Linked DNA regions of Xenopus tropicalis. The main gene of each other region encodes a partner of the protein of the gene in region 3 in a complex. Links are inferred from orthologs where the notes say so. Each region holds a gene or a part of one and is shown on either strand. Other genes may lie near its edges. The genes, in order: lsm6, txnl4a, lsm3, usp39, snrnp40, prpf3 and lsm2.

Evidence for each region.
Region 1: lsm3 (region 3) and lsm6 share a complex: the UniProt entries of both Homo sapiens proteins name them as parts of the precatalytic spliceosome. The link is inferred for Xenopus tropicalis from reciprocal best matches to the Homo sapiens genes LSM3 and LSM6.
Region 2: lsm3 (region 3) and txnl4a share a complex: the UniProt entries of both Homo sapiens proteins name them as parts of the precatalytic spliceosome. The link is inferred for Xenopus tropicalis from reciprocal best matches to the Homo sapiens genes LSM3 and TXNL4A.
Region 4: lsm3 (region 3) and usp39 share a complex: the UniProt entries of both Homo sapiens proteins name them as parts of the U4/U6-U5 tri-snRNP complex. The link is inferred for Xenopus tropicalis from reciprocal best matches to the Homo sapiens genes LSM3 and USP39.
Region 5: lsm3 (region 3) and snrnp40 share a complex: the UniProt entries of both Homo sapiens proteins name them as parts of the U4/U6-U5 tri-snRNP complex. The link is inferred for Xenopus tropicalis from reciprocal best matches to the Homo sapiens genes LSM3 and SNRNP40.
Region 6: lsm3 (region 3) and prpf3 share a complex: the UniProt entries of both Homo sapiens proteins name them as parts of the precatalytic spliceosome. The link is inferred for Xenopus tropicalis from reciprocal best matches to the Homo sapiens genes LSM3 and PRPF3.
Region 7: lsm3 (region 3) and lsm2 share a complex: the UniProt entries of both Homo sapiens proteins name them as parts of the precatalytic spliceosome. The link is inferred for Xenopus tropicalis from reciprocal best matches to the Homo sapiens genes LSM3 and LSM2.

Annotation. Positions count from the first base shown.
Region 1 is NC_030677.2:58,334,625-58,338,866, forward strand, and holds the start of lsm6 (U6 snRNA-associated Sm-like protein LSm6), read right to left. Parts: upstream 2,801-4,242; 5' UTR 2,714-2,800; exon of another isoform or gene 2,537-2,713; intron 1,130-2,536; exon of another isoform or gene 943-1,129; intron 349-942; 5' UTR 334-348; coding exon 240-333; intron 1-239. UniProt on the Homo sapiens protein: Plays a role in pre-mRNA splicing as component of the U4/U6-U5 tri-snRNP complex that is involved in spliceosome assembly, and as component of the precatalytic spliceosome (spliceosome B complex).
Region 2 is NC_030682.2:96,972,581-96,976,761, reverse strand, and holds the start of txnl4a (thioredoxin-like protein 4A), read right to left. Parts: upstream 2,801-4,181; 5' UTR 2,788-2,800; coding exon 2,635-2,787; intron 1-2,634. UniProt on the Homo sapiens protein: Plays a role in pre-mRNA splicing as component of the U5 snRNP and U4/U6-U5 tri-snRNP complexes that are involved in spliceosome assembly, and as component of the precatalytic spliceosome (spliceosome B complex).
Region 3 is NC_030680.2:132,918,360-132,922,374, forward strand, and holds the start of lsm3 (U6 snRNA-associated Sm-like protein LSm3), read right to left. Parts: upstream 2,801-4,015; 5' UTR 2,788-2,800; coding exon 2,767-2,787; intron 1-2,766. Other genes in the region: xpc (DNA repair protein complementing XP-C cells), read left to right, coding at 3,483-3,567. UniProt on the Homo sapiens protein: Plays a role in pre-mRNA splicing as component of the U4/U6-U5 tri-snRNP complex that is involved in spliceosome assembly, and as component of the precatalytic spliceosome (spliceosome B complex).
Region 4 is NC_030679.2:125,759,335-125,763,503, reverse strand, and holds the start of usp39 (U4/U6.U5 tri-snRNP-associated protein 2), read right to left. Parts: upstream 2,801-4,169; 5' UTR 2,776-2,800; coding exon 2,706-2,775; intron 1,876-2,705; coding exon 1,800-1,875; intron 1,724-1,799; coding exon 1,629-1,723; intron 1,542-1,628; coding exon 1,405-1,541; intron 595-1,404; coding exon 442-594; intron 243-441; coding exon 17-242; intron 1-16. Other genes in the region: UPF0561 protein C2orf68 homolog, read left to right, coding at 3,056-3,156.
Region 5 is NC_030678.2:79,149,906-79,154,074, reverse strand, and holds the start of snrnp40 (U5 small nuclear ribonucleoprotein 40 kDa protein), read right to left. Parts: upstream 2,801-4,169; 5' UTR 2,729-2,800; coding exon 2,648-2,728; intron 971-2,647; coding exon 841-970; intron 255-840; coding exon 161-254; intron 1-160. UniProt on the Homo sapiens protein: Required for pre-mRNA splicing as component of the activated spliceosome. Component of the U5 small nuclear ribonucleoprotein (snRNP) complex and the U4/U6-U5 tri-snRNP complex, building blocks of the spliceosome.
Region 6 is NC_030684.2:127,685,432-127,688,400, forward strand, and holds the end of prpf3 (U4/U6 small nuclear ribonucleoprotein Prp3), read right to left. Parts: intron 1,823-2,969; coding exon 1,676-1,822; 3' UTR 501-1,675; downstream 1-500. UniProt on the Homo sapiens protein: Plays a role in pre-mRNA splicing as component of the U4/U6-U5 tri-snRNP complex that is involved in spliceosome assembly, and as component of the precatalytic spliceosome (spliceosome B complex).
Region 7 is NC_030684.2:75,103,095-75,107,379, reverse strand, and holds lsm2 (U6 snRNA-associated Sm-like protein LSm2), read left to right. Parts: upstream 1-1,485; 5' UTR 1,486-1,623; coding exon 1,624-1,626; intron 1,627-2,090; coding exon 2,091-2,158; intron 2,159-2,641; coding exon 2,642-2,672; intron 2,673-3,556; coding exon 3,557-3,616; intron 3,617-3,733; coding exon 3,734-3,859; 3' UTR 3,860-4,192; downstream 4,193-4,285. UniProt on the Homo sapiens protein: Plays a role in pre-mRNA splicing as component of the U4/U6-U5 tri-snRNP complex that is involved in spliceosome assembly, and as component of the precatalytic spliceosome (spliceosome B complex).

The DNA.
Region 1 (4,242 bases), on a different chromosome or scaffold from region 3:
AAGAATACGACCCAAACGTAACCCTGATTTGCATATTTAAATTTAAGCAGCATCTGTGGGAAAATGTATTGCTTTGGAATGTGCAAACTTTGAAGTGAGGGAAAATACGTATTATAACATGGACATGAAACAGAGCCAGAATGAATTTGTAAAAATACATTTTTCATAATCCTCATTCCAAATGTTGATAAAAGATAGATATAAAAGGAATTCAGGTTGCCTTTTACTTTAAGCTTTACCTCGATAATCGACTCCAGAGTTGAGCTTTACAACCACTGGTCTTCCAATAATCTGCTTTAAGAAGTCACTCGGTGTTTGTTTGCGCAGGCTCATTCTAATTCCCTTTCACTGTAAAGAAAGGTTTCAAGACAAAATAATTCTCTTATTGTTATATAGTGCCAACATATTCCTCAGTGCTTTACAGATATTATATATTATTCACATTTTCAGACCAGCATTTTTATATCAGTTGCAGTTGGTCATTATTGTCAGTTTGATGATTTAACAGCACAGATTAGTGCATTAGAACTGGCAAATCTGCACTATGATATGGTATACAAATAGACTGCCGCTTTGGTCCAGAATTCACAGCAAACATTGTGGAGTATAAGTCCTATTTTAAAGAATATAAACTCTACAAACACTAAACTCTAAAAGAAGCAGGCTAGAAATGTTAAACTTTAGTTTTCTATTAAACTATTCCACCAAATTTAACCAACAGCAATGACAATCCATTCGCCTGCAGTTGGTTAGAAATATCTTCGTCTTAACTAGCCTTTAAAAGGAAAGCCAGGAAAGCACTATAAGAGATGTGTTCTAAAAAATCAGAAGACAAAGCAGTTAAAACAGGGTTAAATCACAGCTAACTGGAGGCTCTGTATTCCTCAGTGTCTACAGCAGAATAAGGAGTGGGCACTATTGATGTGCGGGCTGGCCCAATACCTGCAGGTCAGGCCGACCTTGGCACATCACCTGCGGGTCGCGGGTGGGCTTCGGGTTGAGTGCTTCCGGTCAGCCTCCATGACCGAGACCTAACAATGCTGATATTCCGATTCCAGCTTGGGAATTTATAGGTGCGCGCCCGACATGCCCCACCCCTTCGTGATGTCATTGCGGGGAGGGTCGGGAGTAGGTCTATAAATAAAGGGAAGAAGCTGGGTCGGGTAGGGTTGGGAGCAGGCGGGTTAAGATTGGGTATTTCTGTGTTGGTAAAAGTTTCATGTTTGCTTCAGTAAGACTATATAGTTTATATAAATAAGCTGTTGTGTAGCCATGGGGGCAGCCATTCAAGCTAGAAAAAAGGAGAAAAGGCACAGGTTACATAACAGATGCACGCTTTAGAATGGTACAATGGTAATCTACACAATTTATCTGTTATCTGCTATGTAACCTGTGTCTTTTCTTCTTATTTTCAATTTGTACAGCTACCCCCATGGTTACACAGCAGCTTTGTTTATATAAACTATATTCGGGTTTCTGAAGGAAACACACAATGTTTACCAGTGTAGGGCACTAGTACATTATATTTTAATTACTTTTATATGCTTTCATTTTTTGTGTTACTGTTCCGAGGATTTATGTACCGACTCCACAGTCCTCAAATTCCCTGATATATTATTGTATTTATCAAAGGTTTTTATTCAGTGTCTCTTATCATTTCTAAGAAATACTGTGCTTCCTCAGCCTAAACGTTTCCTACTACAGGTATAGGACCAGTTATCCAGAATGCTAGCGACCAAGGGTATTCCGGATAAGGGGTCTTTCTGTAACGTGGATCTTCATACCTTAAGTCTACTTAAAAAAACAATAAAACATTAATTAAACCCAATAGGATTGTTTTGTATCCAATAAGGATTAATTATATCTTAGTTGGGATCAAATACAAGGTACTGTTTTATTATTACAGAGAAAAAGGGAATCAATTTAAAAAATCTGAATTATTTGATTAAAATGGAGTCTATGGGAGAGGGGCTTTCCGTAATTCGGAGCTTTCTGGATAATGGGTCTCCGGATAAAGGATCCCATACCTGTACAAACATATCCACCATGGTGTCTGTCAGCAGTCTGATACAAATGTGACTCATGCTGGTATCAGCCAATTAGAGCAGAGGAAATCTGTCAGTGACAGCCTCAAGCATGTTGGTTACTGCCAGAATAAAATATTAAGTGGAAAAGCTCACTGATAACATAGATATATTAGGGCTTACATACATTAGGGCTAGAGCCCAACACTGACACACTGTAGCTGGGCTTAAACTTACAAATGATTCTAAATCTATAAGTAAGAAGCTCCATCCCTCTGATGTAGCAGGGAGATCTATACAGCCCCTGTGAGAGGAGCTCTCATGTACTTGGCACTGAGCCCCTCTAGTACAGCCTGCTGGTAATCAGTATATTGCTCAGGAATTACAATACCCACCTGCCGGGAGCAATACAAATATGTATCAAGAAAAGGGTGCCTGTAGCAAATCTACTTCGAAACATTATAGCTGAACAATACATAATACAATCCCAATGTAATGCAGCGGCCACACACCTGGGATGAACTACAACTCCCAGAATTCGCTTCGCATAGACACCGCGGGAGCCACACATTTAGGTTAATTATTGTTGTTACCTACTTTTCTCTGAACGTAATGAGCACTAACCATACTAGATGGTGTGCATCAATGCAAATACTACAGGCGGCCATAAGCCACCCTGTAATTCTCACCCTGTATCCCGTGCGATGCCTTTTCTCCCGCCTCTCTCCTTCCTACCCCTTTTTACGGTGTCCGTCTCAGGACAATCCAAAAACAAGCGAAAGCCGTGTGCGCCGTACGGAAGTAAATCGGGTTCCTGAATGAGGCACCGCCTACCGGGGGTCAAAAGGGGACGATGACGTTAACACGGGAAATGATGCGTCCAATCAGGGCGAGAGGCGGCGCTGTGGCTCCTCTGCACCTCTTGTATGTAGTAATGGCTGGGATATCCTGTATGTTTCATGGCTTTGAATCCCTGCACCATGCCATTATAAGTCATTCTAGTAAAGAAACCTCGCCTCCAACTTTAAAAACGTGTTCTGATTCAGCATTACTCTTACTTGCTAAACGTAATACATTTCTTTGAGTTGACGCAAATGTATACGTATTTTTATTTTACATATATTTATTTTTGTATCTATTTTATACAGGCACATGCACTTTACTTATGGTAAGCTACTTTGATTTTCTGAAACTTCCCATATAATCCTTTCTGATTGAAGGGTCAGTTTACTTTAATCAGCCACACAAAATGTCACTAGCATCAAAAATGATTACTAATACTGATAAGCTGTGTGTGGCATGACATTATTCAATTGGAGCCTGGTATTATTCATCTGAAATCTTTACTGATTCATTACCTGCTGTACACCATGTATTTGCAAATATCCTTATTAAAGTGGTGAATGTCATGGCACCTAATGGTCCCTGTACACGGGCCAATTCTAGCAGCTAATCAGCCCGTGTATGGGCACTACCGATGGGCCTGCCCGACCAATATCTGGCCTGAAATTGGGCCAGATATCGATCGGGCAGGTTAAAAAATCTAGTTGGATCGGGGACCGTATCAGCTCGTTGATGCGGTCCCTGGAACGACTTCACCTATACCCGTCTTTATAATGCGATCGTTTGGCCCCAGGGAATTAGCCTGGATTCTCCCCATATCGCCCACACGTAGGTGGGGGATATTGGGAGAAGATCTGCTCGCTTGGCGACATCACCAAGCGAGCGGATCTGAAGGTGTGTGGGCACCTTAAGAAATATATGTGCAGTCACCAAGAGGCCAGTGACTGACACCAAATTGGAAATCCTGCAAATTGTTTATAAGCATGGTGTGGGGGAAGCTCACTCACTCCTCTAAATTGTCACTTTATACCTGTCTTTATTGCTGTTTAGGTCTTCTCTGCTTATAACTATAAACAATTATACAATATTTTTTTTTTTTTGTTTTCATTCATTTGGTAATTGCTGGGTAACTAGCTTTCACATCCAGAACTTGAATCTGCCCTGCAACTGCCATGAACCCACCCATGCAAACATAGGGGATGAGGAGACGCTCTGTGAGCGTAACTGTTTAAGATTCCTCGGAAGGAATTAAAATGTACAAAAATGAAAATAACTAATATGATATGCAAATAAATGAATTAATTAATTTAATAGCTAGCCAAATAAGCAAAGAATAAGCGAACTTGGCAGCTAAATAAATAATCTGCTCACCAAC
Region 2 (4,181 bases), on a different chromosome or scaffold from region 3:
TTGGAGCAAGGTAGAATAGATTTTTTACTTTAGTACTTACTTTTTTTTTTACTTTTAGTGTTACTTTTCCTTTAATCATTTTTAGAAGCAATCAGATTAATCAGTGGTTTTCATCCAAACAGACCCCCCCCAAGGATAAATAAAATAAAAGTGATTGACTTCTGAGGATTAGAGTGTTTATTTATGTGTGTTGTGAGCATTACACAACAGCAGAGCTGCTAAGTTCTCTGGAAGCAATGCCACCAAGGGTTGTTGGCCAATCAGAGGCAAACAAAACTAACAGCATAAAGTGTGATTGCAAACAAAAGTTGTAAATGCCATCGCCACTGGACTTCAGAACAGTGGAAACACATTCTCTGGAGTGCTAAATGGCGGTTAAATACAGCTTGACACAGTTCCCCAGAAAGAAATTCAAAACTCTCAATACAACTGTATAACATTTTTACAGTTATATTTATTAAAGGGTGAGTTTTTATACAATGATAACTAATAACTAAAATGTTAACTAATCTCTAAAAATCCAAAAATAAATAAAAGAGCTGTGAAGGAGAAGATAAAAACACTGTAGTGAAGGAATACAGCACTGTACAGTCTGACTGGTAAATGTTAAAACATAACTTGTAGGAATAAAATACAAATCATACTCCCCCCCCCCCCCCCCCTTAAAAAAGATCCTTCAATCACATGGATAACTTTCTTTCACAGGCAACAGATATTAACCAAATAATGCAGCTAACTGTGCTGTCACTCAGCATCTGCCTTCATCATGACCTAGCAGGCTAATATTTCATACCAACACTGATGTAAGAACAGTCTTAAAAAAGCATAAAATATTTTGTAACTTAAAAAACAGCAACAGCCAAAAGCTTAGATACAGACAGAACACAAGTCAGCATAACAGAAATGCATATATGATGCACCATTTATCACTCGGAGCATGATCTAGCCATGTGGTAATGCACTAAGCACCTAGCTTATCTCTGCACCAGAAGAAATACCTTCAAAACAGCAGTTACGGCACCATAGATGAGGTAACAAGAAACACCATAATCAATAAACAATTTCCACACACTTAAAGGGGAATTAAACACCCCAAAAAGCAAAATACTGTACAACTGCTCAGAATACTCTTCTCAGCACTTTTACTATTTACACTGAACATTTTAAGATATAAGCACTTTGCAATAATAATATAATTTATTTGAAACCACACAGCTCCCTACTGTTCTGATCAGCTGGCCATCATAAAATGATGTTACTGAGTTACTCAGTAGGCAATATCATTGACCAAGGAAACCTCTCTGCTCAGTAACTACCTTAACAGAGCACTGCAGTTTTAAATTCATTATATCAGTGTACATTATAAAAGTGCTCAGAAGAGCATACTACCAATTTTACATTAATTTCTTTTGGGGTGTTTAGGTCCACTTTAACATTTATATTTTTATGTTCTAACTAAAAATGTAGGCAAATACCAAAATAGATATATAGTAATAACATACTTCATCACAAGATATTCGATTAATGGGCCCAGTCCTGTGATCTTCAATCACCCCAGACAGTAGACCTCGAACGCAAATACAGCAAGGCAGTGTATGTGCTTTGGGATGCCTGTGAAATAACACAGAATATACAGAATCTCGCCTTTTCTATGTTTTTTCTTTATTTCCAAACATGAAAATACTTAATCTTTGAGGTTCCATATGTAGAATCATTAGCACTCACACAACATTGGCCAAATTTGCCTTTGGGCAGTTACCCATAGCAACCAATCCATGATTGGCTTTTTCAGCTAACTGCATTTAGAACAATGAATGCAACAACTTGATTGGTTGCCATGAGTTACTATTCAAGAGCAAAGTTGCCCAGTGTTGATAAATGACCCCCACCGTTCTCAGAAAACATATGAACAAATATTCCAAGGGGCCTCAACCTACACAGCACCCTTACTTGATGGAATGATGTCACAATTTTTGCTCTTCTACCCCTCTCTCTAAACTAAGGCTCCCTGTAATGATCACCAACTAAACTGGTAAAAGAAATGATCCCCTTTTTATATAGAATAATTTACCACTAGAGCATTTCCTAGTTATTTTCTCTTAAATTTGCAAATGTATTTGAGTCGTGCATTAGCCTTTACTTTCTTCATCCTAAGTTCAAGCTGAATATGCTCCATACTCTGTTTAAAAGCGGCATCACCATAACCCTCTGTCTCCTGGTTGTGACTTTAGATCAACATGTTTCCTGTAGAGCTCCATTTTCTTATTTACACTGCTATTTGGTTAGTAGGGGTGTTGACCAAAGTAACCAGTCAGTGGTTCCAGTCACTGGCTTGAAGATAAATAGGAGAAGGCCTGAATCTATATTAATATGTATGAAAAAGACCCACTCCTGCCAAACCATTTTTAACTATGCCTTGAACCAGCTAGAGAAATCACACATGTGGGGGGTCCCCACCACTTATGTCCCCAAAGGGGGGGGCAGCTGCTGGAGGAATGCTTAGAGGCAGGTGTAGGGGATAAGGCGGCAGGCCCATACATACAGGCATCTGGACCTTCTACCTGCCTGAACCTTTTTTAATCCAAACCCACCTGACCTGCAGGTCTTCGATACACTGCTATAAATATATCTTACCTTTTCAGCTATACTGTACAAAACTTCATCCATCTTCATACAAGTTGGATCCCAGTCATGGCCAAAACGTATAACTAAAACTCTGTCTTCCTCAGACAAGATTGCCTGGTCGACCTGCCAGCCATTGTGCAAATGAGGAAGCATGTACGACATTTTGGCAGCTTTGCTTTAAAGCTAAAAGGACAAGAAAAGAAGTATTGCAAGAAATGAAACACTTTTCTCAAATGCGTGAAGATACAAACATACTCCCATCTACACTGACAGGCTAACATGCTAATACTTTCAATTAAAAATTATCTGGGCAAATTTTAAATATTTTTAATGGTTAAAGAGTCCGAAGTATCCCCCAAGATTATAGTTTACAGATGAGGATACAAATTGTAGCGTAATGCTGCTCGTAACAATCCGACATGAATCTGGGAAATGTGGGGCTGCAGTAGAGGCAGGGGGATTGCCTGAAGGCCACTTTGGGTGAGTATTGGTGCAAATTCATGTGAATCAATAGCAAGCTCCTGAGTTATACCAACAAGCTGCCCCAAAGCCTTATATATATATATATATATAGGCTACATACCACCCAACTGTGCTGATTTAACTAATACAGTCCGCAGTCCCGTACGGTTGTTTAAAAGTCTTGCGGTGCTGTTGCCGTGTAGCCCCTCGCTTCCTGCCGTACAGCGAGCCAACGCACCGCAAGTCTCATCTCGCGAGAAGGTGACGTCACATCAATACTATAAACGTGGTTACGCAGCACGTAGCTGCCTTGAGGCCAATGTCAAAGGAAGATGGAACTTGAGTTGAACATGTGCTGTTTCTTTTCTTTATATGCACAGCCCAGTAGCTGCAGCTAGAGCCTATGCCCCAACAGAACCTTTAAATTAACTAGATTAGACTAGACTATTTAAATTTAAATAGATTTAGCTTATGCCAGGCACAGGGAACAGAGAAATAAGGCTTTTAAGTTCCTGGTTGTGGTCATACCCCCCCAACTGTCCCGCTTTTTACGGCGCATCCCGCTGTCCCGGATAGTTCCATGAATGTCCCGCATTGCGGGACATTCATGGAACTATCCGGCACAGCGGGATGCGCTTGCTGTAGCCAGATGTTCTTGCTTCTTCTGCGGCTTCGTTATGCCTCTCCTTGTGCAGCGCGACAGGCCCTTTTATAAGGTTGCGCCTGTGGGTGTGACGTCATTACGCACGGAGCGCAACCTTATAAAAGGGCCTGTCGCGCTGCACAAGGAGAGGCATAACAAAGCCGCAGACGAAGGCTGCGCCTATGGGAGGTACTGTGTATTGGGGGGGGTACTGTGTATTGGGGCACTGTGTATGGGAGACTATTGTGTATGGGGGCACTGTGTATGGGGGGGCAAAACTGGTACTTAGTTATAACTCACTTATAACTGACTGCCTTCTCTCTATATTTGTATTTTAATGTAGGAGTTGCTATATTGTTTTCCTTAGGTCGTTCAGTATGAGGGTATAGCACATTTTCATCTGCGCCCGCCATTTGATCTATATAAAAGGGGTATTTTTTTAAAAATGGGG
Region 3 (4,015 bases):
TTTTAGTATGATTCAATTTATAGTTTTCAGTTTAAACCTAGTCCTGTGTTTCTGCCTCTATCTTAAAACTGTTTTTGCTGGATACATAAGAGTTGCCTGTATATTGTTTAACCCCTTAGCTGCAAAGTAATAATCATCTGCTTTTACCACAAATTCTGGTCCCCTTTCTTTTGCAGATGGTGCCGTGATATATTAGCCTCCTTATAATTATGATATTATAAAAAGTACTTTCAAGGAAATGTAAACCCAAGAAAACAGTCTCAAAACTGCCCAGCACTCTATTCAGAGCACTTTTGCAGTTGACTTTTTTCCCCCCCATGTCTTTCGAAGGTTTACATTTCCTTTAAACGAGTAATGGCACTTCTGATTCTATATTCCAGTGAATAAGTTGCAAATATTTAGCAATAGCAGTCTTTTAAGCCACACAATCAAGTGTCAGTGCTTGCAGGGGTACAGAGTATTTGCATGAGTTTAGTAACTCAGCATCCACAGGACCTTTGGGGGGGGGGGGGGGGGGAAGTGTGAAGGGCAGCAGGTCCTCAGGCAACTAAACTCAAGCTTGCTTGATCATTTGTCAATATATGAGAAGACTTGTCATATCTTTGTTGTGCTGGCTCCAAGAACATATATTAGCCAATGCCCGTCTGTTCCATTGTTTACTTTTGCACTTAACCTAGCCCATCAAAATAAAGACTTGTGCAGGGAATGTTAATCTAATGATTGTGATCTGTTCCTCTCATCCACTGACTGATTTAATGACAAAAACGGTCAAGCCCATCTGATCAAATGTTGGGACAATGCAGTTGAAATGATCGTATATTTTACAATCGTTTCCCCCTGAATGTAACAATAAGTTAATAATAAAGCAAATTTTATTGGTTCACTGTAAAGGTGGCCTTACACGCTAAGATCCACTCGCTTTGCGAAGTCACCAAGCAAGCGGATCTTCTCCCAATATCCCCATCTATGGGTGGGCAATATCAGGCTAATTCGGTCGTTTGGCCCCAGGGTCAAATGTCCGAATTAGGACGACGGCCATAGGCGTCTGTCTGTTTGGGGACTGCATTAACGAGCCAATGCAGTCCCCGATCAGACTGATTTTTAAACCTGCCTGATCGAGATCTGCCCGATGTCAGTTGGGCAGGCCTGTCGTTAATGCCCATACACGGCCAATAAGCTGCCGAATTGGTCTAAGGGACTGATATCGGCAGCTAGAATCAGCCCATGTATGGCCACCTTAAAACTGGTTGTTTCACATGACAAAATCTGCTTGTGTATGGGCACCTTTATTGTTTTGAGCAGTCAGATTTGATCTACAGTTACCAAATAGCATTTCTTTTCTCCCCTGCATGGGATTGTAAGGTCTGTGGGGCAGGGACCTCCTTCCTCTTGTCTAGGACACTTAGCACTATACCTTTAATGTAACTGTACTATTTGTATTTTAATTATAAATAAAGCCCAGAGTGTAGTTTCACTAGTGTGAAGTACAATACTCTTGTATTTGTGTCTTGTTGTTTTTTTATTATTATTTTTGACACTGGCTAACACGGTACTACAGTTTTTGTTTTGTAACCTGAGCTATTAAAACCTTACAGTTTTCATTTTTTGTCTTGTTTGAACTTTAGATTTAAGGAATGCTTGTGGTGTCTTTAATAAAAAGCCAAAATGACAGACTTAGGTTATAGATTTAGACCCGCTTGGGCAGCCAATAGGGTAGTGAACCAGCTGCCTAGCCAGTAGTTATTTAGTTTGCTCCCAAAAACATGCACCACCTCCATACAGCTTTCAAACTGCTGAGCTTTGGCAGTGATGAAATGTATGTTGTGTTCTTCCAATCAACATGGATTGACACATTAGTAAATTAGGAGACATGTTGGATAAATGGGAAAACCCCTCATTTTGTAGGCAATTATGAATAATATCCGGTGCTGGTTTCATTTTGGGCTAAACATTAACCCTATCTGTAACAATGGCCCCTTTATTGGAGCTCCCTATAGATCCTCTCAGGTCCCTGTCTGTGTTTCAAATGAGGGGTGGGCGTGTCCTAACGGTCCCTGCTAGAAGAACAGTAGGAGGGGGAGAGCCAATCACAGCCCTGCACTCACAAAAGCACAGACAGGCTTCAGTTCCCTATCAGGTCAGCCTAGCTGCTGATTGGTTCCTATCTTAGAGTGCCCCGGCTCCCCTGCACATCCAGAGAATTCAGCCAGCAGGAAGTGGAACAGATGGGCGGGGCTAGTGGGGTTTGGGGGGATTCTCAAATCAGTCCGAAACAACTTTTTTTTTTTTTAAGCACAATCCTATATCTAGGAGTATAATTCACTAGTATATTCTTAAATTTTATAGGATGTGTCCCTAAAAAACAGGAGTCAAGAGTCAATTGGGAGATAAACTCAGAAATCTGAGGTATAGAAACTAAAACAAGCCTTGTGCTTCTATTGTTTGAATATATTGACGCCATCAGCCACACAGAACATACATTTCATTTTACTCCTGACCACAACAACTGGGTTTTTAATCAGATTTACATCGCTAGTTATGAATATAAACACACTCCACCGGTGCTTCACGATTAAAAAAAAAAAAAGGCTTTGAAATAAAAGAGAAAACAGTCCAGTTTGAATAAACATTCACTTAATTCCCCGCAACATAAAAAAACCCTATACGCGTTCCCAAGCGAGACCGGGCCAGGAGCACCCCTTATGCCGCACTGCGCCGAGAACCGAACAGAACCTGTTTTCCAGTCTTATAAACCCACATCCCTACCTGCTCTCCGTCGTCCGCCATCTTCAAAACCCCGCGCAAAGGAAATAGCCGAGAACCCTGACAATTCTCCTATCGCGATATTTATGTGCCACAGGAAGAATGTGAAGCTCGGCCAATAGCGTGAGAGTATGGGCAGTAAGTGGCGGAGGCCTGGATGTGACGCTTGGCCAATAGCGTGAGAGTATGGGCAGTAAGTGACGGAGGCCGGAATGTGTAGCTCAGCCAATAGTGTGAGAGTATGGGCAGTAAGAGGCGGAGGCCTGGATGTGAAGCTCGGCCAATAGCGTAAGAGTATGGGCAGTAAGTGGCGGAGGCCTGGATGTGACGCTTGGCCAATAGCGTGAGAGTATGGGCAGTAAGTGACGGAGGCCGGAATGTGTAGCTCAGCCAATAGTGTGAGAGTATGGGCAGTAAGAGGCGGAGGCCTGGATGTGAAGCTCGGCCAATAGCGTAAGAGTATGGGCAGTAAGTGACGGAGGCCGGAATGTGAAGCTCAGCCAATAATGTGAGAGTATGGGCAGTAAGTGTCGGAGGCCGGAATGTGAAGCTCAGCCAATAATGTGAGAGTATGGGCAGTAAGTGGCGGAGGCCTGGCAGCGGGGTGCACATGTGTATGTTCCGGAAGTGACGCGTTAATGTTATTGTCTGAGACAGATTGTTTCCTGTTGTGTGGGTTATACAACCAGAGGGGACATGTGAGGTAGAATTGTGGGGAGATGGCAAAGCGGAGGGGGTCTGAGGGTGCTGCGGTAGCGGGGAACAAGCAGAGAAACCGCCCGGCAATAGACTCCCTGCATGGTGGTGAGTTTCTATGGGGTCTGCATGTCTATAGAGATTTTCATTCATCTTGTGAATGATATACAGTAACACGTAAAATGAAATCTAAACACAGACTTAATTCACAGACTTAAATAGACTTAATTCTTATAGGTACTGTATGGGGACACTGTGCAGAGTTTCTAAATAGGCTGGGAATAATACTGTAGTGAGTGCAGATTGAACCCTATGGGCATCAGCCCTGTACTATTCACTATACTGGTTTTAAGATTCTTCTATGATTGCTAAGGTAACCCCTAGAAACCAGATAAATTAAATACAAACCTTGACAACATAATTCAGAGACCAGATGAAATAAAAAATAAAGACCAGTTGCAGATTGTGTTAGTATTATGCCATCTGGACAATATTAAAAGATAGGCAGAGTTAGCCCTTGAATTGTGCATGGGCTTTTATTTCTGTGCTAAATGAT
Region 4 (4,169 bases), on a different chromosome or scaffold from region 3:
GGGTGGAGATATTCACCTTGCTTGGTGATCTGGAAATTTTTCTTGCTGCAAAGAACAACAGCCTGGAGCATCTCATGTGGGGAGACATGAGCCTTAAAATTCCTGGGGTTCCACAGTTTGCGCATTAATTCCCCAAATCTCTGCACAAGCAGGAACATGATATCCCCAGGAGGGCGCTTAATATCACAATAATTCTCTTCCTCCAGAAAGTAATTTCTCAGAGGAGGAACATTGGAGAGAGCCTGGAAGTGACCATAAAGAAATTAGTGTACATTGGCCATGAAATCTGCACTATGGTCTGTGGGAGCAAAAGTGTTTAAAGTGTTTCAGACTGATGAATGTTAGGGCATCCAGTGAAATAGATGAGAGATGATTCTCTGCTGCAGTGAAGGTGAGGTGGTTAACTGTTACACAGGCCCTGTATATTGTGAAAATTCCTACCTGCAAAACAGCATTGGCATAATCATTAGCTTTGATATTGTTAAGTCCCACGATGCCTGGGAGGTAAGTGGTACCATCATATGCTCGAGAAAGCTTGGCCTGTTTGTCTAAGTTACCAATTTGCTGCTTGGTGAAGGTTGGCTTCAGCACATACTGTAGAAGACAAAGAGATAGTTACTAAAAACATGAAAAGCAAAGTTAATATGGGGGGGGGGGGGTGACACAGTTGAACAGACAGAGACAGTATAGAAATAATGTGCACATTTTACAAAGCCCTTTACTTCTGTAAGAACAGCTACCTTTCTCTCTTATGGCCTGAGGCCATCTATGTTCTCAATCCAAGGAGAAACCCAGTCCTTGTTTCCATGTGTAGATTCACACTTATATAAAAAAAAAAAAAAAAAAAAAAAAAAAAAAAAGAACTTTGAAAGACTGTACTGAAGAATGGGGGCCAGCCAAAGGAAGGGGAAAAATGCTAAGGCAACAGGCAGCTAGTGGAGCTAGACATTTCTGCCATCACTGGGCTTATGTTTCCCTGTTACTGACCATAAAATCTGCTTTTTGATGTATGCCCTGCTGTGTGTTGCATGATCAGAGCAGTACAGGTGATCCATGGCTCTTTTGCGGATAATATGCTATTCTACCTTTCCCATCCTAATTGCTGGCTGTGGTTGAACTCACTAAAGGAGACGTATGTGTTGTGATAGACACATCAAGTTAGTGAAGGGATTGTTGCTCTTGAGTATAAGAGTCTAAGAGTATAAGAGTCTTTAACTTACCGACACCTGTGTTATATAAGTCAACAGTGCACTCTAAAAACTCTGGGAACGCCATACCACTTGTACTGGGCACTAAGATTGCACCTTGGGCAAATATGAACTGGGCCATCCTGATTTTTTGTCTTCATATTAGAAAATGCCAAGGTCACATAAACAAATGGGGCAAGAGAGGATGTGCAAGTACCGTAATGTCTTCCAGGGAGGAGTCAATGATATTATAGTTGTCCGGCAGGCAGTAGAACTTCAGTGTGTGCAGATTAAGGAAAACATGGTGACTGAACTGAACACTGTGGATATAGGCATGGGACTTCAAGCCTCGACCTTGGGGGGGGAAAAAAAAAAAAAAAAGAGAAAAATTTGACAAAATAAGGGCTCATCTGAACAACACACTCTGTGCCACTTACTTACCCTGGAAGTATTTCCCGCATACAAGGCAAGCATATGCATTAATGTGAGAAAGAGAGATGGAACACAGCTTCTCAAAATCAAAGTCCAAGACACTCCTGGTAAGAACAGAACCAGTGTTATTTGTGAGCAGTACATAATCAACACAGTCCCAAGCAAAACAACCAGACTGACCTGTTAATGGTATCCAGATATGGGCAATGGCGACTACGTCTGTCTTCAAAGTCATACCGCCCGTGCTTTCCTACAACTGCCAGCATTACATGCACGTGTTATATATATGTTATATGTACAGTTCTGAAGTTAAACATGCACAATTCACCTGTATCACCCACTTAAACTGCTTGGCCTGCAAATCACACTTGGATTGCCAGGAAAACATTATGGAAGAGTGACACTGCCATTACTTGGGCTAAAATCACAGGTAGGGATCAGAGGGTGGCAGCAAATGTGAACCTAGTTTCATACAGAAATTAATGACCTAAATGGTCCAATCAGCCATCCTTGTGTCCAGCTTTAGAGGTACCATGCTGGGACACCATGCACAGACATGGCCGGAGCACTGACAAAACAGGTTTAATGATCCTGTTTTGGGGGGGATTCCATATTTTCTCGGTGGGGGCCCTAGTAATGGTGGGGGCCCCGGTAATGGTGGGGGCCCCGGTAATGGTGGGGGCCCCGGTAATGGTGGGGGCCCCGGTAATGGTGGGGGCCCCGGTAATGGTGGGGGCCCCGGTAATGGTGGGGGCCCTAGTAATGGTGGGGGCCCTTGTAATGGTGGGGGCCCTAGTAATGGTGGGGGCCCTAGTAATGGTGGGGGCCCTGGTAATGGTGGGGGCCCCGGTAATGGTGGGGGCCCCGGTAATGGTGGGGGCCCTAGTAATGGTGGGGGCCCTAGTAATGGTGAGGGCCCTGGAGAAATTCCTTCTCTGACACAGTGACAGACACAAGCGGAGGAAGCACATATTTATTATCCCCCCACGCTAACACATGTGCACCACTCTTTTTCATTCGCTTTTACTCAATCAATCCGTTACACTATTCACACCAAGTCGCATCAATAGAATGAGTTTCCCTCACCTCTCTCATCATCATCATCGTCGTCGTCTTCCTCCTCCATCTCCAGTTTCACCCGCTTCTCAGCGTTCATTCTGCCTCCACCGACTCTCCTGCGTGTCTCGCCTCTCTTTGGACTGAAGCCCCTCCCCCACGCCGCTTCCGTACACTTTCCTATACAACAGGAACGAGTCACGGAACGCTAATGTCAGGGATGCATTGATTGGCTACATTAGCCTTTGTCGAAACAAAAACAGCCAATCGCTATCTCTCCTACAATCGGCTGCGACGGGATAGTTCCTACCAGCGGTAGCTAGGGGGCGGTATTGGGATTGAAAGGGTGCCCGTGTTGGAAGTAGACTAGAGCCGGGAGTATGCAGGAGGAAGTGGAGGTGCAGGGCAAAGCCGGGCCCGGTGGGAGGCTGGATATGAATCACGGCTTCGTTCACCATATCCGGCGGAATCAGATCGCGAGGTAATAGGGCTGGCAGCGGCCGGAACTTTTTCCTTTAAAAAGCAGAAACACTGAGACTGTTCACGTAGTGTTGGCCATGGGGCTGCTTCCATGAAGGTTATACTGGTGCTGTTGGGGCCAATCTATTCATATACCATCCCTGCCATGGCATTGCCTGGTACTTGTGTTCCTAAAGCTGGCAGGACTTCAAATGCACTGAAATATGAACTAGTGTTTCCTTGCTAAATAAATGACAGATTTGCTTCTGAAATTCCAATATTTGTGTAGCCAAACTCCTTTGGGCAGTGGAGGCAGCTGTTCAGTTCCAAAAGGGCTGTCCCATTCATGCTTCTCTAGCGGATTCCTGTTGAGATTTTGAAGTGACCACACCCACTTTTAAAGTCCGCACCTTTTTAAACTTGGATGGGGCTATTTAATAAAAGGCACTAAGTTTTCCCAGGAGCAGCAACTGATGGAACCAGTCAGCAGGTAGAATTTACTGGTCACCTATTGTAAAGCACATATCTTATTGGTTGCTATGGGTTTAGGGTTGCCACGTCTGTCTGTCCGGGTCAAACTCCCTGCCCCATTTTCCAAATGAGGGAAATCGGACAGAACTCCTGGCACCGATCGCCATGTCATAACCCCACCAAATCCCTCAATGTCATAGACCACACCTCCAACATCATCCGCCTCACCCCATGACATCACCGTTCTGCCTCCCACACAGGCATTCCCCAGTCAGAAGATGGCAACCCTATATGGGTTACTGCTCATGGGCAAACTAGGTACCTTTTAGGAACTTTGCAGGAGCCTTGCATGTCAAACTGTCACAGCCATTGGTCTACTAGCATTCTGGGTTGTTTTCAAAATTACTATATACCAGTGTGGGCATGCTCAAAAACAGGGCACTAGCCATTTCCTAACGATTATCACCTGACCCAAGAGTGCACTGGAAGGGCCTAGACTGGTGATTAGTGGTTGGGCATTATAGAACATTTAGTCACCCCTGAGCTGAAATCATGCAGGGGCAA
Region 5 (4,169 bases), on a different chromosome or scaffold from region 3:
ATAAACCAAAGATATTACAGTGTCTGGCATCCTGGTCTTTGCAATTTTACAGAAATTAGTATGCATAATTTAGTACCACCAATGTGTAATACACAGGATAGTTTTCAGTACCCGTAAAACAAAAATGACTACATAAGCCCCAGACCAGACAATTACCTACCTCCCGTCTGTATTGTAATGAAGCTCCATCACTGCTCCACTATGTCCTTTCAAAGTTGCATAATTGTCACAGTCGCCATATACATTCCATAGCACTACAAGGCAAGTCAAAATAAACTCACTCAATAACTTCACAATTTAAGGGTAAAATACATAGCTTCATTTTTGGATTCAAATTCTAATTGTTATTAATGTACAATGCAGCATAAAACTAAAGTTTAAATGGTTTCATATTCCTTGTAAATTCCAGATTCAGACGGTGTCAGTTTTCTTGCAAATCAGTTAAATACCTACAAAGAAGTTCATGTGTGCTGCTAAATTTACTTGCTTTGTTTAATAGAATAAGTTACCTGCTGGGCAAACCTGCCAAAACATGGTAGCTTATTTAATTTGATTAAATATTACAAGAAAAGAAAAAATAAAATAACACATACCTGCATAACTTTCTTAATCTGATCAGTTGTAACATTCATAATTAATGTTACAGCTTGTATAGTGTGATAATGTGCTAAAAAGGAGCTAAAAAGCATAACAAAATTACAGGAGGTGCAGATTAATCCTTAATTAGTAACGTATAGATGGCCAATTAATTGTGTGATTCTACAGATGAAAAACAACATCTGCTACTAAGTCAAACAGCTGCAAAATACAAAGCGTATAAAACAAGTGAAAGTTGCTTACAGATAAGTCTGTCAAATCCTGCAGAAGACAAAGTTACACCATTGGGATGAAATTTGCAGCAATAAACTTCTCCTTCATGACCAGAAAGCAGCATGATGGGAGCCTGAAGACTGGATGATCTTGGGGGACCCTGCAGTCAACAAGTTCAGAGAATTAAACATCAAAGTAGATTCAGTTCCATTTATTACCTAAAGAAATATTTTATTCACCTTAAATTTTTAGTATTCTATAAATTACCATTTCTATTCTATTTTAAAGGGGCACTGACACATTCCTATAACAGTAAGGAACTTGTCAGTATTACCCATAATGCAGCACAACACTACTGCTTTTATTGAAGATTTACCCCAAATCTCCTCCAGCCCAGTCACACTTACCACAGGCAGAGTTAAAGGAACAGTAACACCAAAAAATGAAAGTGTATAAAAGTAATTACAATATAATGTACTGTTGCCCTGCATTGCTACAACTGGTGTGTTTCCCTCAGAAAGACTACTATAGTTTATATAAGTAAGTTGCTGTGTAGCCATGGGGGCAACCATTCAAAGGAGAAAAGGCACAGGTTACTTAGCAGATAACAGATAAACCCCCATTATATGGGGCTGATCTACTAGTTATCTGCTACATAACCTGTGCCTTTTCTCCTTTTTTCAAGCTTGAAAGGCTGCCCCCATGGTTACACAGCAGCTTATTTATATAGTAGCTTTTCTGTAGCAAAAACACCAGTTTTTTGCAGAGCAACAGCACATTATATTTTAATTACTTTAAAACACTTTAATTTTTTGATGTTACTGTTCCTTTAAGCCAGCAGTCTGGATAAAGAGATGCTCCCTGCAGACATGCGGGCTGTGGGTGGTGCCATCATTCTATAGGCAGGAATACAAATGTAAACTGTACTCCAGCCGTTGGAAGGATTGCATGGAGGCCAGTGTGACTGACAGACAACTCGTTAAAGTAACATTCTGCGTGTAGTAGTGTTGGGATGGGGTAAGTGTGTTTGGGCTGGGGGAAGCCCAACCAAGTGCTGCATTGTCAGTAATACTGACACGTTCCACGTCAGTATTCTTTTAACTACTCTTTGGCATATTTTCTCCCCTTAAAATTCAGTTTTAGTATTATTGTTATATTGCCTATTGTTTATCAGTCTATTGAGATCCTTCCCTAATTATTTGCCATTTTGAGTTCCAATCTACTTCTTGGTTGCTAGGAGAATTGAGGTCTAAACAAACAAACCTTAGAGGCGCAGAAGAAATAATCAAACTAAAACATGAGAAACAGATATACAGACTAAGGTCATGCTGTCTACACTATACTAAAGGACATTTTAAAACTGAACTACCCCTTTCAGAAAAAAGGCATGAAAATGGGTTAAGAGAAAGTCCCATAGCAGTAAAAATACTAGCTTTTTATTTACTATTTATAACTTTTGGAAATAAAGTTTTTTTTTTAAAAAAGAAAACTTTAACTTGATTACCTTCATTAAAACAACTAGAAAGTCCCATAAACGAAAAACCACAACCCATTAGCGTAGCAAAGTGTAATCACAAGGTCCTTAATGGCTGTGTGGGGTGCACAAGACGAGTCAATACTATAAGTAATTATACCCCTACCTATGTTCAGACGTTAGAGCCTTATGATTACACTTTTTAGCTTATTCTTATACCGTCTAAATCTTTTAATAAAGGAAATAATGGTACGATTTAGATTATGTCTATAATTTTACCTAAAGTCCAAGTCAAATATGCCCAAGGAATGAATGGTTACACTTATCCAAGCCAACCATTTCATTCAAATTCTTCATTCTTACCGAAACCACCAACTCGTTCCTCGGTTTTTTTGCCTGTACCGGCACCAACTCCATTCCCTTCCGCTTGTTTTGCTCGATCATGTTTCCAAGAACTCCTTCCAGCTTGTCTAACACTCACAAACCCAGCCACACTGTAAGACTCGCTTGCGTTCCCACTCAGCAGCGCAGGATGCTCACGCAATTATCCTGCGCAGTCACTACCTGATAAAGATTATAGTGGTGATTGGCTCTAAGACAATCATGTGACCTTGAAAGCCTTTAAGGGGCGGAACAGAGCTTGCGCCGATTTTGTCCATTAGTAATGACGTACGATGGGCGGGGTTGCGCGTATAAGGATGTTTAAGCAACTGGGCTGATACAGGAGAAAGAGAAAATGACGTAGAAGTTGTTGTAATTGGTTAAATGTGATCGGCCGGGGAGGAGACAGCGAAATGGCGGCCCATCAAAGGTAAAATATATAACAAGTCAGTTAGAAGAAGATTAATAGGCTATTACATAAACCATTATTAACGCAGCTTGATATTTCTCTGCAGGTGATTCAATTTTTTTAGGCACATCACATGTAATTTTGTCTACTCCAGTAAAAGGGGCTGTTGGCTTTAGGTGCCTTACATGCTGTTAGCGCACACTGAAGGATTCATAGGCTGGACATGCCTTCACTTTCTCTTCTATATGGAGCATATCTATTATAGTGTGTAAGTCGACATCATTGGTGGTGATGTGGCCCTTAGCAACCAATCAGATCTTTGCTTTGGATTTCTAACTTTTAGGTGACTGCTAAACTCTTAATTGCTGATTGTTTGCTATGTGCAACATCACTGGTGATATTGGCTTATACGCTAGTAAATAGGCTAAGGATTAAGGCCATATGTTATTCTGCACATAGAGCCACATTTACAAGCGTATTTGTAAATTTAGAGAGGTGACAGACGGGTATATTAGTCGCCCCGCAGCAATTCTTTGTTGCTGCGGGCAACTAATCTCCCTGCTATGCCATCCCACCAGCAGGAATGTAAATCGCCGGTGGGATGGCATATGCGTCACTACGATTTTCTGAAGTCGCCTTAAGTTGCCTTAAGAGGAAACTTCGGGTGACTTCCTTAGCCCTATGTGTTGTAGCAGCCATGATTACTATAAGGTATTACAAATCTATTGTCACAGTGACCCAGTTACACAGTGTATGGGTTTGAACCTGCAGTGAAAAAGAATGAAAGTGTCCCTGCCCTATGTTATGCGTATTTATCTCATTATTCAGAGACTTACGAAATATACATATTTGTATATATATCTTTATGTGACTCTAATTTTATATGCAATTGTTTTTTTTTTTTTTTTTTTTTTTACAATACTTTTATATTACAGTGCAATAAATAAAATATTAGCAGCTAAAGAGATTGAGTGCCACACATTGAGACACAAGAAGAATGAGTTCTTTGTCCTGTCTTAACATCTAAGAAGGTTGGAAACTTATTCACATGAATGGGAGGGTAATAAGTGCAGTCATTTATTAAGGTGTGGACAT
Region 6 (2,969 bases), on a different chromosome or scaffold from region 3:
AATGTGCTGTACTAAACCTTTATTGGGTGCAGTATAGGGGTCAGAGGTTTAATTCCAGCCAGGGCACAATCTGTAAGGCATTTCTATGTTCTCCCATGTGTCTGCATGGGTTTCCTCTGGCTACTTTGGTTCATTCCACATTTCAAAACCAGCCAGGTTCTTTGGCTCCTGATGAAACTGACCAAAATCTGTGTGACATATAGGCCTTAGATTGTGAGCTGCACAGACATAGGGACGGACATGAATATTATATGAATGGTGCTGTATAACCAAGTCACTGGTCGGGACATTTTGGGAGGTGAGTGGAGAATTATTCCTCTCCCAAAACATTTGTACTTCAGCAGTGAGCCCAATAAATGTATGGAATAGCAGCATCCCATTTACATTTTTGCTTCCGTCCCAGTTTCATGAGCACCTTAATGTATTAAGAGCCATACACACAGCTACCCCCCCCCCGCACATGATGAAATTACACCAACAAAAACTTTCACAACAATTAAAAAAAAAAAAAAGTTTATTATGTCATAGGTTTAGGGCTAAATCCCCCTTTTCCTACACTCCACTTTATAAATTTCACTCTGAAGTTCTGTTGTGCTAAACAAAACAAATTGCCAACAGAATGCCAATCCACAATAAAGAAACATGGAGTCAAATCTATAGGATAAGGTTTCTTGCCAATTGTCCTGTCCAGGGTGCTTGATGAATCCATGTAAACTGGAGCTTATCCGCAAAGCTGAAAATCAACCTTTCCGGTTGTAAGGCGAAACTATTTAAACCATTAATACAAACCAAGGAATTATGAAGTTGAATTGGAAAAAATGCATATGTTTTCAACACTAGAGGATGCTTCTCTGAATTAAAGGAGAACTAAGAACAAATATGGTTAAAATGCTGCCTTCTAAACACTTAACTTACTGTGCAAGCCCAGAGGTTTAGCAGCTATAACAGTAATGACACTTGCCTTCCAATTTGTCCACAGTAGCTCTCCATCTTCTGATATTTGTAAGCCATCTAATGAGTGTCAGTGGCACTGCCCATGCTCAGTGAATCAGCAGAAAAGAGGATAGGGGGTCACAGAACTTTACTGCTAAAGGGCTGTGGTGGACTTAGGCTACAAATACTACCTACACCCTACTGGCTTCTGTATCTTTTTCTCCTTTAACCATATGGATTTTGTAATGAGTTGTTTGAATGCTTAATCCCAATTCCCATTATGTATGGTCTATGTTTTTCATTCTTCCCATGTATTTACATTTTCTTTTTTCTGTTTGCATGTATGAACCAACCAAAATAAGGCTTATCTTTACCAAAATAAATCATTCTGAAAACAGCATTTCTTCAGAGTTGAAGCATAAAGCCTTTTTATGTGAAAAGAAAAAAAAACTGGGGGTAGGGGTAAAGGCTGCAGAGTGGCTGTCATTTATGTTACAATCAGTGAGCAAAGGCTGGACAAGAGCAGGTTGCTATGGTTAAACTGGTCGGCAGCAGTGTTTGAGGTTACCCAGAATTACAGTAAGATGGAAGAGAAGGATAACTTTGCTTGGGCAAGAAACAGTGTGTTTCAAGCTAGATTTAGTTGCGAGCGCTGCAAGTTGTTAAGGCGCTCATAGTCCTAGTCTGTTTTTTCCTTCTGTTTGGAGAAGTGCAGCAGTGTTGTAAGGCTCAGAACTTGCTTTCAGTCTGCAGTTTCCAAAACAGACTTACTAAGCGCCAGATCCCAGTAATGCTCTGCTCCATGTTTCTTAAAATGTTCCCTAGCCATATTTTCTGTGGGACACTGTTTGAATTTCATGTCTCCAAAGCTGCGTTCCTTAGTTGTACCCTAAAAAACAATCAGAAAATTTGTCATGATAATTGGAAGGGAAATGAGGCACTTCAGCTCTGTTTCTATATGCAGATATACAGGAAAGGAAACCATGACAGTCAGCCTCTGAGTTGCATGGACCATACCCCCCTGTCCCCATTAGGCACGCATTTAACCTTTCCTTCTCTTTATTCCATGTTGAAGTGATGGATTCTGGGACTTGAAGTTCTTATGCTTTCCATGCTGGGAAGTGCACAGATTCTCTGCAAAGCAGAGAACTTCATGTCCCAGAATCTTCTGAATTCCTACTCTGAAGTCTAGCTGTGTAAAAATAAATATACATTTATTTCTAAAGGTTAAGGTTAACCGAAGCCCAACTGAATGTCAAAAAGGGCATTTTTTTTTACCTTTAAAGAGAAACTATACCCCCAGAATGAATACTTAACCAACAGATAGTTATAGATAGATAGTATATCAGTAAATATTACCCTTTTACATCCTTTCCCTTGAGCCACAATTTAGTGATGGGCTGTGTGCTCCCTCAGAGATCAGCTGACAGGAAATAATGCAGCTCTAACTGTAACAGGAAGTAGTGTGGGAGCAAAAGGCAGAACTCTGTCCATTAATTGGCTGATGGGGCCTAGCATTTATGTGTGCCTTGGCTTGTTTGTGTGCACCGTGAATCCTATGATCCCTGGGGGCAGCCTTTAGTACTTAAAATGGCAATTTTCTATTTAGGAGTGCAGATGAAGCAGGGTTTTACATATGGGCTGCTTGTTTATGCAATATTTTTATAGAGACCTACATTGTTTGGGGGGTGTAGTTTTCCTGTGGAAATCTTTGTAAATGGTATATTACTAAGTTTCATTCTCAATACATATATTTAGTATTTCCGCCTATTCTGTTTACAAATGTGAACTTGCTTTAGGTAGAATGGGCTTGACTGTATACTCAGTGGCTAGGTCTGCTCCTACATGTATACTTCTGCAATAAACTCAATGGCACATTCAGACCTTAGCTATAGAGACATTCTGCTCCAAGGTTTTTAAGTTTATCTAAAATGGATTTGTATAATCCACTAGAGACTAGTTTCACTAATTTCTGGAATCTTTGTAACAATGCCTTAAATTCAGTGACCCTAGCAGAAGGTTTTCTGTTCCATGCA
Region 7 (4,285 bases), on a different chromosome or scaffold from region 3:
GCCAAGTTAGGACCTGCACTTCCATTGCACTCTCCATCCTTCCTGAGCCCAAGCTGTGGGACCTGTGCGCTTGCAGGCTTGGGTGGGAGGGGTAGAGCTACAAAACAACCTGGACAGGCGTCCTAAGGTGCACCAAGTTCCTCCAGTCTCCTTGTCTTGTTTTGTCCTGAGATAATTACCATTTTTAAATGAAAACTGCAATGTCCCTACACAGACCAATATGGAACCGACTTATATGAAGGGTAAATTAAAGGAGACATATTTGATAAATGGGGAAAACCCTAATTTTGTAGGCAATTATGAATAATATACGGTGCTGGTTTCCCTTTGGGCTAAACATTAATCCTATTTGTAAAAATGGCCCCTTTATTGGAGCTCCCTATAGATCCTCTCTCTTCTCTGACCATGTTTGAAATGAAGAGTGGGCGTGTCCTAACGGTCCCTGCAAGAAGCACAGTAGGAGGGGGAGAGCCAATCACAGACCTGCACTCACACAAGCAAAGACAGGCTTCAGTTCCCTATCAGGTCAGCCTAGCTGCTGATTGGTTCCTATCCTACAGTGCAGTGTATAGAGGGCCGCTGGCTCCCCAGCTCATCCAGAGAATTCAGCCAGCAGGAAGTGGAGCAGATGGGGGGGACTAGTGGGGTTTTGGGGGAATTTCTCAATAAATCTGTCTGAAATACAACTTTTTTAAGCACATTCCTTCTATATCTAGAGGAGTATAATTCACTGGCACATTCATAATTTTTATAGGATATGTCTCCTTTAACAGTAACTAGCCCAGGTATGGACAGCGTAACTCCTTTTAGCTATCTCGTAACCCTCATGCCTTGTACCTGGAGTTGGTAATTATTGGTCCTTAACATTACAATTGATGTTTGTTGTGCAAGAACTGATAGTTTGTGTTTGTGGGTCAGAATGCAGTTCCAGCCTCTGTAGTTACACCTGGAATCCAAAGTTGTTTAATAAACTGGTACAAGGGACATTTTCTCTGAGCAGAAGCTCAAAAAGGGCAGGAGGTGGGCAAGTGACAAACCAAAGGTTAGGGATTAAAAAAATACAAAAAAGGGATCCAAAGAACAAGGAGAGATAAATCTGATTCTTGTCTGACTGTCGCTAGTTTGGCCCTAGGTTAGAATTCTGCTGGCAGAAGAAACAATAAAATAAAAAAACATTTTAAGGTTGGACATTACAGATCTAATGTGGAGTGCCTAACCTTAATATAGTTCATTTTTATTCTACTGTTTCATAAACTAATCTATACTTTGTTACACTTAGTACCTGCTCCCAGTTTATAAAACCTGTATTTTTTTTAACGTATTTTAGTTGTTCAGGGATAAAATACGTTTAGGGGACTTCTCAAGAAAGTTACATGAAAAAAATGTTTTCTGTCCTCGCGAGATCATGATTGCGTCATCACCGTGGGACCCATTCATTCGGCCGGTGCCTGAAGCCGGCGCGCAAATTCCTGCTGCTTTAAATTCTCGCGAGATTTATGCAGAGGCGCTAGAGCGGTGAATGAGCGGAAGGCATTTGGTGTGTAGATCTGTCGTTGTCAGCGGCGTCTGTTTTGTTCTTCAGTTTCCAGATAGAGCTTGGGTGGTGCGACTGCAACAGAAGCAATGGTAACCGCTTAAGAACACTAGCGTTCCGTTACTGTTTCACGTTTTGTAGGGTAGAACCTAAGGAGTCGATAGCCATGTATTTTGTGGTGTACCAGCGTATACAGACCTGTTTGGCAATCAGTCCCCCCCCCCTATAGTCGCAAGGTCAGCTTTCTGAGTGGCCATGCCCTGCTTTGACGTTCCATGTTTTGCCTATACCAGGATTCTGGGATTTGTAGTCTTATAGCAGTGGGAGGGCTCGAATTTGGCCATCCCTGCTTTGCAACAACATTTCAATCATTTGTAACCTGATGTTAGTTGGACAGAACAACTTGTCTGTCTCTGTTATTGTTTGTGTCTTATGAGAGAACATGCTTTGCCTTGATCTGTAAAGGATCTTGGCAACATTTGTTATGTGATGTGCCTTGGGTAAGCTACAGGAGAGGCAACTGGTTTTTATAACTACTTGTTTTTATCATGTACAGCTATTCTACTCCTTCTTCAAGTCTCTTGTAGGAAAGGATGTGGTGGTAGAGCTGAAGAATGATCTGAGGTGAGTGTTTTGCCCCATGTTCTTTCTAGAATTGCTTCCCCCCCCCCCCCCCCACATGCTATACAGTCAGGCAAAAAGCTGCCACTGGTACATTTCAAGAACCTAATTTCTGTACTTTAAGGGATGTGACACACGGGGACATTAGTCGCCGCGCAACAAATCTTTCTTGTTGCGTGTCGACTAATCTCCCTGTGTGTCACAGCCCTTAAACCTAGTGCAGTGTGTGCAGTTGTGCTTTCTGCACTTGTGATGTGCCCAACACAAAAGAGGTAAGCACGGTGGGTGCAGCAGCACTTAGAGTCCCCCTGACCATTGTCAAACTTTAGAGGGCAGAGTGTATTGTGTAGACAGAATTTATAAAAACATTTTCTTGTGCTCCTGTAGACTTCACACCCTTAAATAACCACTTCTTTACCATTTAGCCATCTTTCATCCATTTAGCCTTTTGTTGCACTATTACATAAATGGTCTTATCTCTTGCAGTATCTGTGGTACTCTACACTCAGTTGATCAGGTAAGTAACTGAGCAAATATATAAATGTAGTTTATTTTCTCAGCATAATTATCAGCTCAGCCATGTTGTCACTTAAGCCTTGCAACTGAAATTGGCATAAAATCTTTCAGTGCCAGGGAAAAATGTTGGGTTGGCAAAAAAAAAATGAAAAAGTGAAAATTTTCTTTTAAATGACTTTACCATTACTGAAATTTCCACAACGCTAGGTTAAATTAAACCCTAGCAATCAGATAGCGCCTACAATTCCAAAATGGAGAGCTGCAATAAAAAAAGCTAAATTTAATTAAAGACTGCGATAATGAAGACTAGTTGCAAATTGTCTCCAATTATCACTGTCCACATCATACTAAAAGTTCATTCAAAGGTGAACAACCCCTGAAGGGACAGAGCCTTTAATAAAATGTACGCATCCTGCAGAGTATAATGTCAAACCAGGGAATATTTATTAACATAATTACTACAAGATTCTCCAAAGAGAATATTGCTCATATTTTTTTTTTTTTATACCCTAGAGGGCTTGTTTGCATAGAGGAATATCTCTGCTCTACCTGTTATCGTAGTACCTTTTCAGGTGTCTGGTGCTAAACAGTCTGTAGACCCACCTGCCCAGGGTCAAAGATGCTGTAGCACACTGATCCGTTATTGTGGTTGCATTAAGTTGCACCGACTCTTGCAATGTTTTGGGTCACTCTCAGACTGGCTGAAATGTTCCCAGTAGATGTCTGCTAATTAAGCCAATAAATCACTTTATTTAATGTGTGATCAGTGTGCTACATCATCTTTTGCATTCTGCATAGAGGAATATGTCTTGGAATAGAACTTTTGGGGGGAACTTGTGTTTTTCATTATCTCAAACAAGATTTCACTTTTTTTTTTTTTTATAGTATTTGAACATTAAGCTGACTGATATCAGTGTAACAGACCCAGAAAAATATCCACACATGGTAAGCTTTTTTTTTTTTCTTTGTATTTTTTATCTGCACCAGTAAACTAGATACTTAGCTTTTAATCCTGCTTTGAAACACTTGTTAATGTAATTATTTAAAAAATTTTTTTTTTAGTTGTCTGTAAAGAATTGTTTCATTCGGGGATCTGTGGTCCGCTATGTACAGCTCCCTGCTGATGAAGTAGACACTCAGCTTCTCCAGGACGCTGCACGGAAAGAAGCTGTACAGCAAAAGCAGTGATGTACAAGAGCTAGAAGGATGGAAGCAGGTTCACAAGCAGCACTAGGTGTTGTCAACTGCCTATATTTCTATAAGGCCAAATATAGGAGTGAGCAGCAACTTGTTACCTGTTATACAGGTTTTGCATTACATTTCTGTAAGAGACCCACACTTTTTTTTCTCATCCTAGTTCTGGAAACTTTTTTAAGTGCAGTGACTTGTGTGTTCACTTTAGAATCCAAGCAATGCATTTTGCTCTGCAAAGAAGTGGTCTCAGATAAGCAGAGTTAATTGGGAAAGACTGCCCTAACTTTTTTTTTTTTTTACTTAAATAAATTTTGTGTTAAGTCATCAGCTCATGTTTTTTTTTTTTTTTAGTGAAGCTAGTTCCTTCTGTTTGTATCTGCCTTTCTTAATTTTGTCGTAATATGATTTTTACTGGTTTAA